2 linked regions of the Oryctolagus cuniculus genome follow. The protein of the gene in region 1 purifies or fractionates together with the protein of each later gene. This does not show direct contact. Links are inferred from orthologs where the notes say so. Each region holds a gene or a part of one and is shown on either strand. Other genes may lie near its edges.

Region 1 (7,335 bases):
GATGCCTTTGTTAGAATCAGTGAATGTACATTTAAGATTTGTGTACTTCACTGGATTTAAATTTTACACCAAACTATACGGATAAACTCTGGTCAATGATCTGCATCTCAAGTTACTTAGAGGGAAGTGTATTGATATCTGCAACTTAAGTGGTTATCTACAATTTAAATGGATGATAGACATTTGATAAAGCAAATTCTATTAAAGTATTAATGGAAGTATCTAGTTGGAGAGTATGTGTGCTCCTTATAAAATTCTTTATAGACTGCTAAATGGTTGAAAATTTTAAAACATTGGGAAAAATGACACTGATAACACTACTTGTAATTGTAAGCACTGTTAACATAGTACACTTTTCATAGTTTTTTTTTTTTTTAAAGATTTATTTATTTGTGTGAAAGTCAGAGTTACACAGAGAGAGGAGGAGAGGCAGAGAGAGAGGAAGAGAGGTCTTCCATCCACTGGTTCACTACCCAGTTGGTAGCAATGGCAACGGCTGGAGCTGTGTTGATCCGAAGCCAGGAGCCAGGAGCTTCTTTCAGGTCTCCCACGCGGGAGCAGGGGCCCAAGGACTTGAGTCATCTTCTGCTGCTTATCCAGGCCATAGCAGAGAGGTGGATCAGAAGTGGAGCAGCCGGGACTCAAACTGGCACCCATATGGGATGCTGGCACTGCAGGCAGTGGCTTTACACACTATGCCACAGTTCCGGCCCCAATTGTAGAGTTTTAAGATGTTAAGTTTAGAGGCCAGTGCCGTGGCACACTAGGTTAATCCTCCGCCTGCGGGGCCAGCATCCCATATGGGCATCAGTTCTAGTCCCGGTTGCTCCTCTTGCAGTCCAGCTCTCTGCTGTGGCCTGGGAAAGCAGTAGAAGGTGGCACAGGTCCTCAGGTCCCTGCACCCACATGGGAGACAAGGAAGAAGCTCCTGGCTCTTGGCTTTGGATCGGCGCAGCTCCGGCCGTTGCGGCCATTTGGGGAGTGAACCAACGGAAGGAAGACCTTTCTGTCACTCTCTGTAACTCTACCTGTCAAATAAATAAATAAAATCTTAAAAAAAAAAAAAAGATTGTGGGGAGCAACCGGACTAGACTGAGTTACTGGAATTAGGACTTATTCTATGCATCTGCTCTCCCACAATATGGCGCTGGGAGAGAAGTAAACAGCTTCTACGCAGCTGCCTCCAGTTCAACTAATAAACTGTAGGACTTGCTCCTGATTGGAGGAGAGCAGCGTACTCGGCGTGTGGGCAGCCGAGTTAGGATTGGCGGAGGAGGACTATAAAGGAGGAGAGAGACGGCATGCACCAGGAACATCTATGGGGAACATCTAGCTGAAGGAAAACCCGTGCAGCCCCCGAGAAAGCCGGCCGGCGGTGTGCCGCTCCCCTGCGGAAGTGGGGAATGTGGCCAGGGGGAACTGCCCTTCCACGGAGGTGGAAGGGATAGTAGCCAACCCAGGAAGAACCAGCAGCAAACCCGGGGAGGGCCGAGCAGATGAAAAGAACAGCACAGGGTCCTGTGTCGTTCCTCCACGAAGAGGGGGAGCGACATAATGGTGCCGTGACTCGGATATGAAGCCTAGGCAGGGTTTAGTGTCGCTCCTCCACGAAGAGGGGGAGCGACATGATGGTGCCGTGACTCGGATAGGAAACCTAGCTTGGATAGGAAACCTAGGACGGATAGGAAACTTAGGAGGGAAGAAACGGGAAGAACTGGGAAAATACCGGAGGAGAGACTAGTAAACAGCCTAGGGAAAAGCCGGACGAAAAGGGTGCCGGAAGAAGCTGTTGAAAGCCTAGGCATAGACTCAGATACGGACTACGGGGGGAAGCTGGGAGAAATCTCTAAGGTCGAAAGTGAAAGCTAGAACAAACAGACTCGGACGCGGACTGTGGGGAGAGGCCAGGAGAAATGAGGGAGGAATATCGTTGGAGGAAAGTTTGGGGAAACATACCGGGTAGAGAAAAATGTTAGGGAAATTGAAGCCGTGGGGGGCAGGCCAAGGCGGACACGAAAGCCACTTTGGGATTCTCAAGTTAGCCCGGGAATGGGGGGCGAAAAGTTGAAACCAGAAGCTGAAACGTAAGCCAGATTGGGATCCGTCTGATTAGCCCGGGGAGCAAAGGACGGGAAGCCAAATCGTGGGGCGGAGACGTATGCTGGGTTGAATTCGCCAGGCTAGCCCGGGGAACTTAGATTGAATGCTAGTGGCGGACACGTAAGCTACGCTGTGTTACTCGCGGAAGCCGCCGCGTGCAGAGAGAGCACGGGGCGTGAATAGATAGGGAACGGGGCTGGCGCGAGGCCGTGGTGCAGACGCAAAGGGCGTGGAGACCGCGGAGCGCGCGAAGCCAAGCCGCGCAAAGCCGGGAAGCTGCGCAGATGAAAGAGGCGCGGGCTGAAGCGGCTCAGCCGGGAAGCCGCCGAGAAGTAGCCTCGGGGCGGGCAGCGGGAAGCTGCGGGGATAAGAGAAACAGAAGTTTAGAAGCAAAGTGAGAGAAATAGGAATGCTGGAAGATAGAAGTAAAATGGGAGAAATAGGAATGCCCGGAGATAGAGAAATAGAGAAATAGAAAGGCCTCCCTACAACACTGCACTGTGAGAGCTTGGATTCGGTCTGCCTGATTAAGTGAGGCGATGAGCACGATGAGCACCTGCGGCGGCTAGCAGCTTATGCGCCGCAGGTCACCGAAGACAGGCACGAATTAACATCAGTAAGGCTTCCCCACAATACAACAATGAGAAAGCTTGGATTCGGTCTGCCTAATTAAGGCGGTAAGCACCAGCAAGCAGCTCGACCAGAGTATGAGCTGCAGGTCACCGAAGATAGGCACGAACCAACACTAATAAGTCTCCCCCACAATACGGCAATGAGAAGGCTTGGATTCGGTTTGCCTGATAGGGCTTGTAAGCCCCTGCAGGCTCGACCAGAGCATGCGCTGCAGGGCACCGAACACAGGCACGCATCAGCGCCTAAAAACCTCCTCACAACATGGCGAAGAGAGGACCCGGATTCGGTTTGCCTGATTGATAGGACTTGTAAGAGCCTGTGGCAACTCTAGCAAGTAGAGCAGAGTGTGTGCCGCGGGACACCGAAGACAGGCGCGTATCAACGCCAAAAAATAAAAAGAAAGGGGGATCTGTGGGGAGCAACCGGACTAGACTGAGTTACTGGAATTAGGACTTATTCTATGCATCTGCTCTCCCACAATATGGCGCTGGGAGAGAAGTAAACAGCTTCTACGCAGCTGCCTCCAGTTCAACTAATAAACTGTAGGACTTGCTCCTGATTGGAGGAGAGCAGCGTACTCGGCGTGTGGGCAGCCGAGTTAGGATTGGCGGAGGAGGACTATAAAGGAGGAGAGAGACGGCATGCACCAGGAACATCTATGGGGAACATCTAGCTGAAGGAAAACCCGTGCAGCCCCCGAGAAAGCCGGCCGGCGGTGTGCCGCTCCCCTGCGGAAGTGGGGAATGTGGCCAGGGGGAACTGCCCTTCCACGGAGGTGGAAGGGATAGTAGCCAACCCGGGAAGAACCAGCAGCAAACCCGGGGAGGGCCGAGCAGATGAAAAGAACAGCACAGGGTCCTGTGTCGTTCCTCCACGAAGAGGGGGAGCAACAAAGATGTTAAGTTTAGGGGCCAGCATTGAGGTACAGTGGGTTAAACTGTCACCTGTGATACCAGTATCCTGGCTGTTTCATTTCTGTTTTAGTTCCCTGCTAATGTGCTTGGAAAAGCAGCAGATCACCCAAGTGCTGGGGCCCTTGCCATCTACATGGGAGACCCAGATGGAGTTCCAGGCTCCTGGCTTCGGTAGCGCCGGGCCATTGCAGCCACTTGGAGGGTAACCAATAGATGGAAGATCTCTCAATCAATCTCTATCTTTCCCTTTCTCTCTGTAACAGCCTTTCAAATAAAAAAATAAATAGGGGCAGCATCAGACATTTGCTGTGTGATGTTTGCAGACCACCTTGCATTTACCTCTTATAGCATGGCTGTCTCTCCCCCCCCCCCCCACACACACACTGCAAGTTCTTGGTGGGCACAGATCTAATTTGTATTTATAGTCCTGCTCTGCATCATTTTTGGAGACCGTGTTCAATAATGGTGGAATGACTGGTTGAAAGTTTTAGATTTTTTTTTTCCCTAAATGAGCTAAGTCTCAGAACCCAAGCAAGTCTAGGATTTTTATTCCAATCTTTAACAAACTGCCAGAACTAAGAGATTCCCTGAACAGGTCCAAAGCAGAGGAGACAGGGGATCTGGGAAAAAGATAAAAATAATGCCGCACAAAAGTCACGATGCAAAAGTAATCAAGAACTTCACCAAGACACAGAGGGAAAGTCTAGAGGCGGATGCGACACCACCTCCAGTTGCCCCGACTGGCCGCTCGGCTCGCTCCGACTACAGCCACTCCCAAGATGCCGCGCGCCGCGAGCGGACGCGCCCAGCAGTCACCTCCCCACGTCAATCTCCACAAACAATGTGGTCTCCCGGAGCCGGCAGCCCGAGCCACCTGAACTCCCGAGTCTGAGCCCCAGCTCCCCTCCCGCCCGCGCCGCAGCTCTCCGGGCCTGCGTCTCCTCGTCAGTGACATGTAATGACGGTCTACCGTTGGCTGTGAGGAGACGTCGAGAGTAAAAGCGCTGTATGGAAGATGCGCGCGACTCTCCAACTTGTTACGCTTCTTAAGCTCGATGCTCACTAAGCAGCCCTGAGACTGATCTCTCAAAGTCATCCTGCCCCTCACTCCCTTCCCGCTCCGCGCCTGTGCTGAGGCCGCTCCCTCCTGTCGGCCCCCAAGCGGAAGGGGCCCGGCGCTGTCTGCCGTACCTGCAGCCACCTGGTCAGCGGGGCCCTCCTGCTGACCCATGACGAAGTCTTGCACGAGTCCCCACAGGGGGCCCGTAGGCGCCGCCGCCTCCTGGGGAGCGGCGGCGGCGGCCATGACGCTAACGAGCGACCGTGGGAGGGGAAGGAGGCGGAGGCGCGAGACAGGCTTGTCTGCGCACGCGCCCCCTGAGCCAATCGCTGGGTGGATGCCGCGGGGGCGGGGCGCTCCCTGGATCACGTGGCCGCCAGCTCTTGATCGGGCAGTTCCAGGGAGGGGAGGGTAGAGGAGGGGAGGGAAGGCCCCTCCCCGAGGGGTGGGGCCTGGGGCCGGGGCGGTGGCGCGGAGAGCGAAGGCGGCTCGCTGGGCACGCAGTCGGGGGCCATTGAGGGCGAATAATTCCCGGCCCGGCTCCCCGGGAGACGGGCTGCGGGGAGGACACCTGGTTGGGTGGGGCCGAGGGGCGGTACGCACCCTGGGGGAAGCCAATGAGAAAATCAGGCCCGGCCCAAGGGGGCGGTGCCGTCGGTCACATGCGCACCTGGGGCGGGTGGCGGCGGCGGCGCGGGCACCGCGAGCCGGCGGAAGGGAGTGGGGCCGGGCTGGGGCGGGGTTAGGCAGGTGAGTGACAGGCTGCGGGGGGCCGGCCCCAGCTGGGAGCCCCAAGCGAGCCGGGAGTAGCTGCGGCGGTGCCCGCCCCCTCTCTCCGCCCCTTCAGCGGGGCTGGTCTCCGGCCGGGCACCGTCGCGGGCCCCCCTGGCCCGGCCACCTGGGACTGAGCAGGGGAGTCGGCCACCTCCCTCCCTCCCTCCCCGGGTCCGCAAAGTTTGTGGCGAGGCCGGCGCCGGGGCAGAGCGCGCCCCCCCGGGGGGAGATCCGGAGCGTCAGATGCCGGGCGGCAGGAGCCGTTGACCCGGGACGCCGCCGTCCGGGGCAGGGGCGCGGAGCAGCCGACCACCCCGCCGCCTCCGGTGCATGGGGACCGGCTGAGGAGCCAGCATGGGCAACTGCGTGGGGAGACAGCGCGGGGAGAGGCCAGCCGCCCCAGGACACCCCCGCAAGCGAGCAGGTAACCACGGGGAACGAGCAGGGCCACGGGCACCTCGCCGGTCGGCCCCTGCTCGCCGGGGCCCTGGGCTCCCGGCGCGACCTCCCACGGCCCCTGGCGCCTGGGCTCTCCCAGCGCAGCTCCGAGCCTGACGAGGCCGGGGACGCCGACCGGGCTGCGAGACCAACTCGCTCCAACTGGGAAGCTCCGGGTGGCCGGTGGGGGCGGGGGCAGGAAATGTTCGCAGACCGCAGCGGGGCCGCCGCGGGGAGGAGGGCCGGGGGCGAGGGCGCCGGCGGCCTGGCAGCCCGGGCCGGGGTCGGACGCCTGCCCGTCGGGGCGCGGCGCGAACTGCCGGGCGGCCCCACGACTCGGCACGGTCGGTCGCTCCTTCCCGAGACTGACTGTGTCATTCTCGGGCTGCGGATCGCGTCTGCCGGAATCCGACTTGCAAAAGCAGCGCAGGACTCTGGGAAAGAAATCTTTATTTTTTTTCCCCCCGCAGGGCTTTTTAGAGCCTCCTGGCCGTCTGGGAGTTGTGGCGAGGTGGGGTGCGGAGCGAGAGGCGCCCTCGGGTTTGCGGGGCTCCGCGCCAGCGCTGGGAGGGGGCCGCGCCCTCTGGGGATCCGCGGGACCGGCCGCGCCGTCTCACTCTCGCCGTGCGCCCCTTCAGTCCTGGCGCTCGGCCCCTCGGAGAGGGCCGGCGGTCATTCTGGGTCTCACTTCCTTCTCCGAGGGTGTTGCAAGGACCTTCTGAGAATGATAAAATCATAGACTGTAGTGCTCGGAGGAGCGCCGAAACTTGTCTGGGTTCCAGACAGATCCGCCTCCTCCGCTCTGAGTAAAAGGCTGGGTCCCGAAAGGCTGGCGGGTTTGTCCAAAGTCACACAGCGAGTGAGCCGTGCGAGTGGGGCTGGCGGCCAGCGTGCTCCTCCTGCCCGTTGCCACATAGCCCTTGGTGGAAGGGGAGCCGGACGCAGAGTTGTGAATGAAGTGGGAACTTCAGTTTCCCACCTGCTCCGACGCGGAAGCCGGGAAGGAGGATGGGAAACCGTCGGGGAGGCAGGGAAGGATGTCTGTGCGGTGCACAGGATGGCTTGTGGCGGAAGAGACGTGTTTTCATAGGATGGAGGGGTGAGACTTAACTCCGAAACCCCGGTGTCGGAGGGCAGCCCGGGCCATTCTTCTGACTGAGGAAAGTGGATGGGCAACTCAAGGGCTTCCTGCCTTCCTTCCGTTCTTTCATTCATCCCACAAATATTTGTTATTTTTGCAGTGAGCCCTGGTAACTGATTTTGTAGCATTTTCCTCTGTTGACACCTGCCTTTACTTGAAACTCTGCCCCCTTGCCTTCTTGGTTTTCCTGTCTGGTCACTCCTGCCCACTGGCGCTGCCACCTCAGAGGAGCGGGACTCCTGCGGTGCAGTCTGAACACTTTTTCTCTTACTATG
Region 2 (7,537 bases), about 28 Mb from region 1:
ATTAGAGCACTGGTTACAGTCCTGGCTGCTCCACTTCCGATCCAGCTCCCTTCTAATGTACCTGGGAAAGCAGCAAAAGGTAGCCCAAGTGCTTGGGTCCCTGCCACCTAGGTGGGAGACTAAGACAGAGTTCCCAGCTTCTGGCTTCAACCTGGCCCAGCCCTGCCTATTGTTGGCATCTGGGGAGTGAACCAGCAGATGGAAGATCAATCTCTGTCTCTCCCACCCCTTCTATCACTCTCCCTTTCAAATAAATAAAGTAAATCTTTAGGGGCCAGCATTGCGGTATCCCATTTGGGCACTTGTTGGATTCTCAGATGCTCCGCTTCCAATCCAGCTCCCTGCTAATGCAGCTGGAAAAACGGCAGAAGATGGCCCAAACACTGGGGTCACTGCCACCCAGGCAGGAGACCCAGATGGAGTTCTAGTTTCTGTCTGGCCCAGCACTGACCATTGCTGCCATTTGGGGAGTGACCCAATAGATGGAAGAGTTCTCTCTATGTCACTGCCTTTCAAATAAGTAAAGGGGATATTTAGGAAAATAAACAAGTACAATGAAATAAATATTAAAACAAATGTTATTTACCCTAAAGGTTTCACTCAAGACAGCTCTTCTCATACATCGAATACTACTGGCGATGCTTGTGCCGGAAATCAGCATGTCTGGATACAGAATCAAATATCCAAAATCTTCATCTATTATCCAAGTATCAGAAGTACAGTCCCCCTCCAAATGAATGATATCCCCTGGCTGTACTGGAACAGAACACCTGCAAATTAAACAAAATGACAGGATAAACACATAGTTTAAGTGCCTACATTAAAACCTAGAAAGAAGGCTTTGAAAATTAATGAATGTTTTATCTGAAGAAACAGTAAGTATTTCTAAGTTTCTAGGTCTTGTTAAAAACTGAAATACCAAGATGCAGTCTTTTGAGTCAACTCCTAGTCGCACCATCCCTTTTCACCTGGTGAAGCATCCTGCAGAATATGCAAGAATTCTGCTTAAGCACCAAAGAGGCAACTTACTTAGTGCTAGTAATGTCTATTCCAAAAGCAATCAAATCTATGCTAGTGTAATATATAGATAGATCCAGTTAGGAACTGGGTTGTTTAAATCATTAATTTTGTCATTCTTAAGTCCTATAGCTTCCACTTATTCTGAGGTATAAAGCCAAACCAAGTGCAGCAAGAACAACATCACTTTTATTTAGTTCAATCTCACTCACAGCCAAGGCAAAGACAAAGTTAGGCCTCCACCTTCTCTGCATCTTCCTCCCACCTCCCATGCACCACATCTTGAGTAGAGACATCTAAGGTTTGAGACTGCTCCTACATTGCAATTAATTTTGCTGTTACTGAGAACTAACAACCTTAAAACAGAATGTACTGCAGTCACTGCCCCTTAAGACAGATTGAGAATCCCTAATCTGAATATCTAAAATTTAATGTATTTTGAGTATCAACATGAAATCATAAGTGAAAATTTCCACACCTGTGTGCCAGGTCACAGTCAAACCCACGTGCACTAAAAATACTGTATAAGATTACCTTCAGGGGCTGGCACTGTGGTGTAGTTGGCTAAGCCCCCACCTGGAGTGCCAGCATCCCATATAGGAGCTGGTTCATGTCCTGGCTGCTCCTCTTCCAAACTGGCTCTCGGCTTGTGGTCTGGGAAAGCAGTGGAAGATGGCCCAAGTGCTTGGATCCCTGCACCCACGTGTGAGGCCTGGAAGAAGCTCCTGGCTCCTGGCTTCAGAATGGCTCAGCTCCAGCCATTGTGACCATTTGGGGACTGAACCAGCAGATGGAAGACCTTTCTCTCTAACTCTCCCTGTGTCTATATCTCTCAAACAAATAAACAAAATCAAAAGAAAAAATAGAAAAGAAAAAAAATAGATAGATAAATAACCTCAGGGACCGGTACTGTGATGTACAGGGTTAGACCTCTGCCCGGCATTCCATGTGGGCTATGGTTTGAGTTCCAGCTGCTCCACTTCTGAAACAGCTCCCTGCTGAGGGCCTGTGAAAGCAGTAGAAGATGGCCCAAGTGCTTAGGCCACTGTACCCACATGGGAGATCCAGAAGAAACTCCTGGTTCCTGGCTTCAGATCGGCTCAGCCACAGCTGCAAGAGCCATTTGGGAAGTGAAGCAGCGGATGGAAGACCTTTCTGTGTCTCTCCCTCGCTCTGTCTATAACTCTTTTGCTCAAATAAATAAAATACATCTTTAAATAAAAAACAAAAAAGACTACCTTCAGGCTATGGGTATGTGAAACCTAAGTGGATTTTGTGTTTAGACTTGAGTCAAACCCTCAAGATCTCATTATGTATGTGAAACTATTCTAAATATGACAAAATCAAAATCTGAAATACTTCTGGTCCCAAGTATTTTGGATAAGAGATACTCAACCTTCACTTGATTTCCCAATAATAATAATAATAAATTTTTGAATTAAGAGTCTACAGATGTTGGGGTAATAGATACAATTTTCATGTAAAATTAAGCCAGGTTCAAATCTACTAAATCTAATGAATTAGACATTTGGCTTAGTGGTTAAGATGTCCATGTTCCACATCACAGTACCACCATTTGACTCCTAGTTCCAGCTTCTGGCTAATGTAGACCCTGGGAGGCAGTGGTAAGGGCACAAGCGATCGGATTCCTGCCACCCACATGGGAGATCTGGATTGTGCTCCTAGCTTCCTGCCTTCAGCCTGGCCCAGTCTTAGATGAGTGGGAATTTGGGGAGTGACCCAGTACATGGAAGTTCTCTGTCAAATAAATAACTATTTTAAGCTATCCCTTTTTTACACCATTAAATTATAGGAACATCCACACAAGCCATGTGATGGGTTTTAAGATGCTACCCTGAAGATTGCCAATTCAATGCTCAAAGTCACACAAAAAATTACCAGCCATTCCTAAGGATGCACTGTTCTTTGTCTTCCAGCGACTGGGAAGCAGTGATGATTAAGTGCTTTTCCTGGCTGCCTTCTTCATCCTGTACAACAGTGACTGCTAACACCAGGTATCGGTTATCCATTCCTCGGCTCAAGACTGTTTTTGGGAAGGAAGCTTCCACCTTGTTCTGAAATCTAAAACATATACATACAAAACAATTTTAGCACAAACATGAAATAACAAGCCACTCAACCAGTTTCACCTGTAAAGCAGCTGTCTAGCTTTCTAGGTTTGCTTCTTCACAAAGATCTTCAGGTAAAATTAAGACAGCAAAGAACTCCTGTTATAAAAACTTCCCAGACGCAATGCCATTTTAAAACAAGCTTATGCTAAGAGCTTTTCCAATTTAACCTCTATGAGTTTTGTGGACCATCTATCACTGTCAGGATTAAAAACAAATGGGGAGGGGAGCAGTGCTGTGGCGTAGTAGGTTAAGCATCTGCCTGCAGTGCCGGCATCCCATATGGGCGCCAGTTCCAGTCCCGGCTGCTCCACTTCCTATCCAGCTCCCTGCAGATGGCCTGGGAAGCAGCAGCAGATGACCCAAGTGCTTGGGCCCCGCCACCCGAATGGGAGACCTGGAAGAGGCTTCTGGCTCCTGCCTTAGGGTCGGTTCAGCTCCGGCCATTGCCGCCATTTGGGGAGTGATCCAGTGGATGGAAGATTTTTTCCTCTGTTTCTCCCTCTCCCTGTCTGTAACCCCACCTCTCAAAATAAATAAGTAGCCTTAAAAAAATGGAAAATATTAAACAATGACTACCACTGGAGCAAGCCTTTCCAAAGTATTAGTACAAGACGTTTTGTACACTATTCTCTGTGCTGTGAGGCGTACGGGTGACTTACAGATGAGAGGTAAGCATGGTAGGTGTGGTTTGCTGGAAATCCTGAGACACAGAACTACATTCGTCTTTAAGTCAGGAGCTTGCTTAGAAATCGTCTAGCCCAACCTAGAACTTAGGGTAGGAAATACTTTTATAAACCTGGGGCTAGTCCCTGCGTGGTCGGGAAAGCAAGCTTGTCACACCCGTCGAGACTAGCTCACTCGTTCATAGAATAACCAGATGTTTTACTGATAAAGGGCCAGTGAATTTGGTAATCCTTTTACGCACTTGTCCAAGCCGCCTGAAACTCTACAAAAGAATTCTCCTGTAGAAACCCGCGCTGTTCCTAGTAAGTCCCTCTGAAGTCCTCTCTGTTCGACCACAGCAGGTGTTAACCGGTGTGGGGCCAAACGAGAGGCCAGAGCCATTATCTCCCGCAAGGCGTGTACCGAACAGCCTTCCTGTAACGCTACAGGCCACCCAGCTCGCTCACGGAAGGCTGCACGGCTCTGTGAACGCTGCACTAGGCTACCCCACCTGGCTGCAGCCCACGAACAGCCCAAGGCTGGCCGCGAGGCTTTAATGGTCTCTGCAAAAGGTGCAGACGGAGAACCGCAGGCGCAGGCACTGCTTAGCCTGGTTGTCCTTCCGACACCCGCCATTGCGGCTAAGCCGAGGGCTCGGAGCTCTCCCTGACGTTAGTCTCACAACCAAGCAACCATCGACGTACGAAGACACTACCGCAGGAGGCCGGGACTCCCCACATTCGGCAAAGAGGCGAAATCAAGGGAAAGCCTCAGCTGCCGAGTGCGCCCGCAGAGAGCACCGCGCGACGCGGGGTCCCCGGTGCGAGCCGGGGCCGCGGCGGTCTCTCCCGCTCCCGACTTTCAAATCTCCCGCTGCGCTCCCACAGCCTCCCCGCGCCTCCGCTCACAGCTCCGGCGGCGGCGCGGCCTCCTCCCCGAAGGTCTTCTCCATGAGCAGCTCCAGTTCGTCCAGCGGCTCCATCCCGGGCGCGGAGACCACAGACTGTCACCGGGGAACCTCAGGGGAGGGGGGACGGCGGGCAACAACACAAAAACCGCCAAAACGCGGGAAAGGGGCGAGCGTCCGCGCAGCAAGGGCGCATGCGCCGGCGCGCCGAGGCCCCGAGTGACGTGCGCGGGGCGGGCCCGGCAGCGCCGGCGGCTACACGTGGAGCGCCGCACCTGCCCGGCTGAGGCCCTCCTGGCCCCAGGCCTGCAAAACCGGAGTCTTCATACCCGGCCCAGGCTAAAAGCGCAAGGCCGTCGCTCTCAGAGCTCGGGCCCGAGCCAGACACACGCTGTTGGTTTGAGCAGCAGCATTTGGAGTTCGCCCAAACCAGCTGCCTGTGCTGGCCTTTGGAATTTCACATCCGCGGGGAAACAATCTCTTTTTTTTTGCTGGAAAACTTGTTGAGAAAAAGAGAAGTCGTTGGATAGGAACTCCCTCGTAACACAGCGACGAAATCCACAAAACTTCCAAGATCTGCACCCGTCTTAACGACCCTTCCACACTTTTTCGCAATGGTGAATACGTATTCCTCCCAGAAATGGTTACTCCCCCAACCCGTACCCCGGACTTCTGGCACTGTCCATGGCATTGCTGCTTCAGTTACTCCCTCATTCTCTCCTGTAATCAACCTCACCCACACTACTGGATTGCTACCACATTTTTAATAGGACCCAGTTTCTCCCATCTTTAAAAGATGTTAGATTGGGGCCTGTACTATGGCTTAGCAGGTAAAGCCACAACCTGCGCTGGAGACATCTATATGGATGCTGGTTCAAGTCCCGGCTGCTCCACTTGAGATACAGCTATCTGCTAATGCTCCTAGGAAAGCAGCAGAAGATAGCCCAAGTACATGGGCCCCTGCACCCACGTGGGAGATCCGGAAGAGGTTCTTGGCTCCTGGCTTCGGATCGGTGCAGCTCTGGCCATTGCAGCCATCTGAGGAGTGAACTAGCGGATGGAAGACCTCTCTCTCTCTCTGTCTCTACCTCTCTCTGTAACTCTTTCAAATAAATAAAATAAATCTTTAAATAAAAAAAGAATTTTGGCCGGCGCCACGGCTACTAGGCTAATCCTCCGCCTTGCGGCGCCGGCACACCGGGTTCTAGTCCCAGTCGGGGCGCCGGATTCTGTCCCGGTTGCCCCTCTTCCAGGCCAGCTCTCTGCTGTGGCCAGGGAGTGCAGTGGAGGATGGCCCAGGTGCTTGGGCCCTGCACCCCATGGGAGACCAGGAAAAGCACCTGGCTCCTGGCTCCTGCCATCGGATCAGCGCGGTGTGCCGGCCGCAGCGCGCTGGCCAAGGCGGCCATTGGAGGGTGAACCAACGGCAAAGGAAGACCTTTCTCTCTGTCTCTCTCTCTCACTGTCCACTCTGCCTGTCAAAAAAATAAAATAAAATAAAATAAAAAAAAAAGAATTTTGTTGTGCTGTTAACAGTGGGTTAAGCAGCTGCCTGGGAAACCCACATTCCATAACGGAGTGCCAATTGTTGGAGCCCCAGCTACTCCACTTCTGATCCAGATTCTTGCTAATACACCTGGGAAGCAGCAGATGGCGCCTAAAGAACTTGAAAGAAAATGAGAATAAATCTAAAGAGTATAAATAAGGACAGCAGTTTCTCAAAGACAATAAACACTGAATTACCATATGAGGTAGCAACTTTTTTTTTTTTAAGATTTATTCATTTATTTGAAAGGCAGAGTTACGCAGAGAGAAAGAGACAGAGAGATCTTCCATCTGCTATTTCACTACCCAAATGCCTGCAACAACCAGTTGAGCCAGAGTAAAGCCAGGAGCCCAGAAGTCCATCTGGGTCTCCCACGTGGGTGGCAGGAGCCCAAGTATTTGGGCCATCTTCTGCTGCCTTCCCAGGTGCATTAACAGAGCTGGAAGTGGAATAGCTGGGACTTGAACACGTGCCCATATGCAATGCCAGTTTTGTAGGTGGCGGCTTAACCTGCTATACCACAACACCAGCCTCAAGACAGCAATTTAACTTTTGGATCTGCACCCAAAAGAATTGAATGTAGGGACTCAAACAGAGAATTGTAAATCTATGTTCAGAGTGTCATTATTCACAATAAACGAAGAGTTAAAAAAACTCAGTGCCCATAAACAGATAAATGGATGAACAAAATGCATAATTTGATTTGTTTTCATCTACTTGAAAGGCAGAGCAAGAGAGAAAAGAGACAGAGACAGAGACATATCTTCCATCTGCTGGTTTACTCCCAAATTGCCCACAACATCCAGGGCTGGGCCAGCGAAAAGCCAGGAGCCCAGAACTCCATCCAGATCTCCCACATAGGTGGCAGGGACTCACTTTTTTCTTTTTTTAAAGATTTATTTATTTGAAAGGCAGAGTTACAGAGAGGCAGAGGCAGAGAGAGAGAGAGAGAGAGAGAGAGAGGTCTTCCATCCACCTGTCTACTCCCCAGATGGTCACAACAGCCAGAGCTGTGCTGATCTGAAGCCAGGAGCCAGGAGCTTCTTCTGGGTCTCCCACACAGGTGTAGGGGCCCAAGGATATGGGCCATCTTCTACTGCTTTCCCAGGCCATAGCAGAGAGCTGGATCAGAAGTGAAGCAGCTGGGACTTGAACTGGCGATGGGATGCCAGCACTGCAGACAGTGGCTTTACCTGCTACACCACAGCACCAGCCCTGGGACTCACATACTTGAGCCATCAGGTATCTGTGGCTTCCCATAGTGCACATGAA

What was found. The genes of interacting proteins can lie anywhere in the genome.
Region 2: the proteins of MMS19 (region 1) and DNA2 purify together in Homo sapiens (affinity purification with mass spectrometry; 3 studies listed by BioGRID and IntAct, counting the BioPlex papers as one, with this or other methods). This does not show direct contact. The link is inferred for Oryctolagus cuniculus from reciprocal best matches to the Homo sapiens genes MMS19 and DNA2.

The regions. Positions count from the first base shown.
Region 1 is NC_091446.1:32,353,359-32,360,693, reverse strand, and holds the start of MMS19 (MMS19 nucleotide excision repair protein homolog), read right to left. Parts: upstream 5,015-7,335; 5' UTR 4,954-5,014; coding exon 4,839-4,953; intron 1-4,838. Other genes in the region: UBTD1 (ubiquitin domain-containing protein 1), read left to right, coding at 5,836-5,905. UniProt on the Homo sapiens protein: Key component of the cytosolic iron-sulfur protein assembly (CIA) complex, a multiprotein complex that mediates the incorporation of iron-sulfur cluster into apoproteins specifically involved in DNA metabolism and genomic integrity.
Region 2 is NC_091446.1:60,349,054-60,356,590, forward strand, and holds the start of DNA2 (DNA replication ATP-dependent helicase/nuclease DNA2), read right to left. Parts: upstream 4,930-7,537; 5' UTR 4,795-4,929; coding exon 4,721-4,794; intron 3,100-4,720; coding exon 2,917-3,099; intron 771-2,916; coding exon 587-770; intron 1-586. UniProt on the Homo sapiens protein: Key enzyme involved in DNA replication and DNA repair in nucleus and mitochondrion.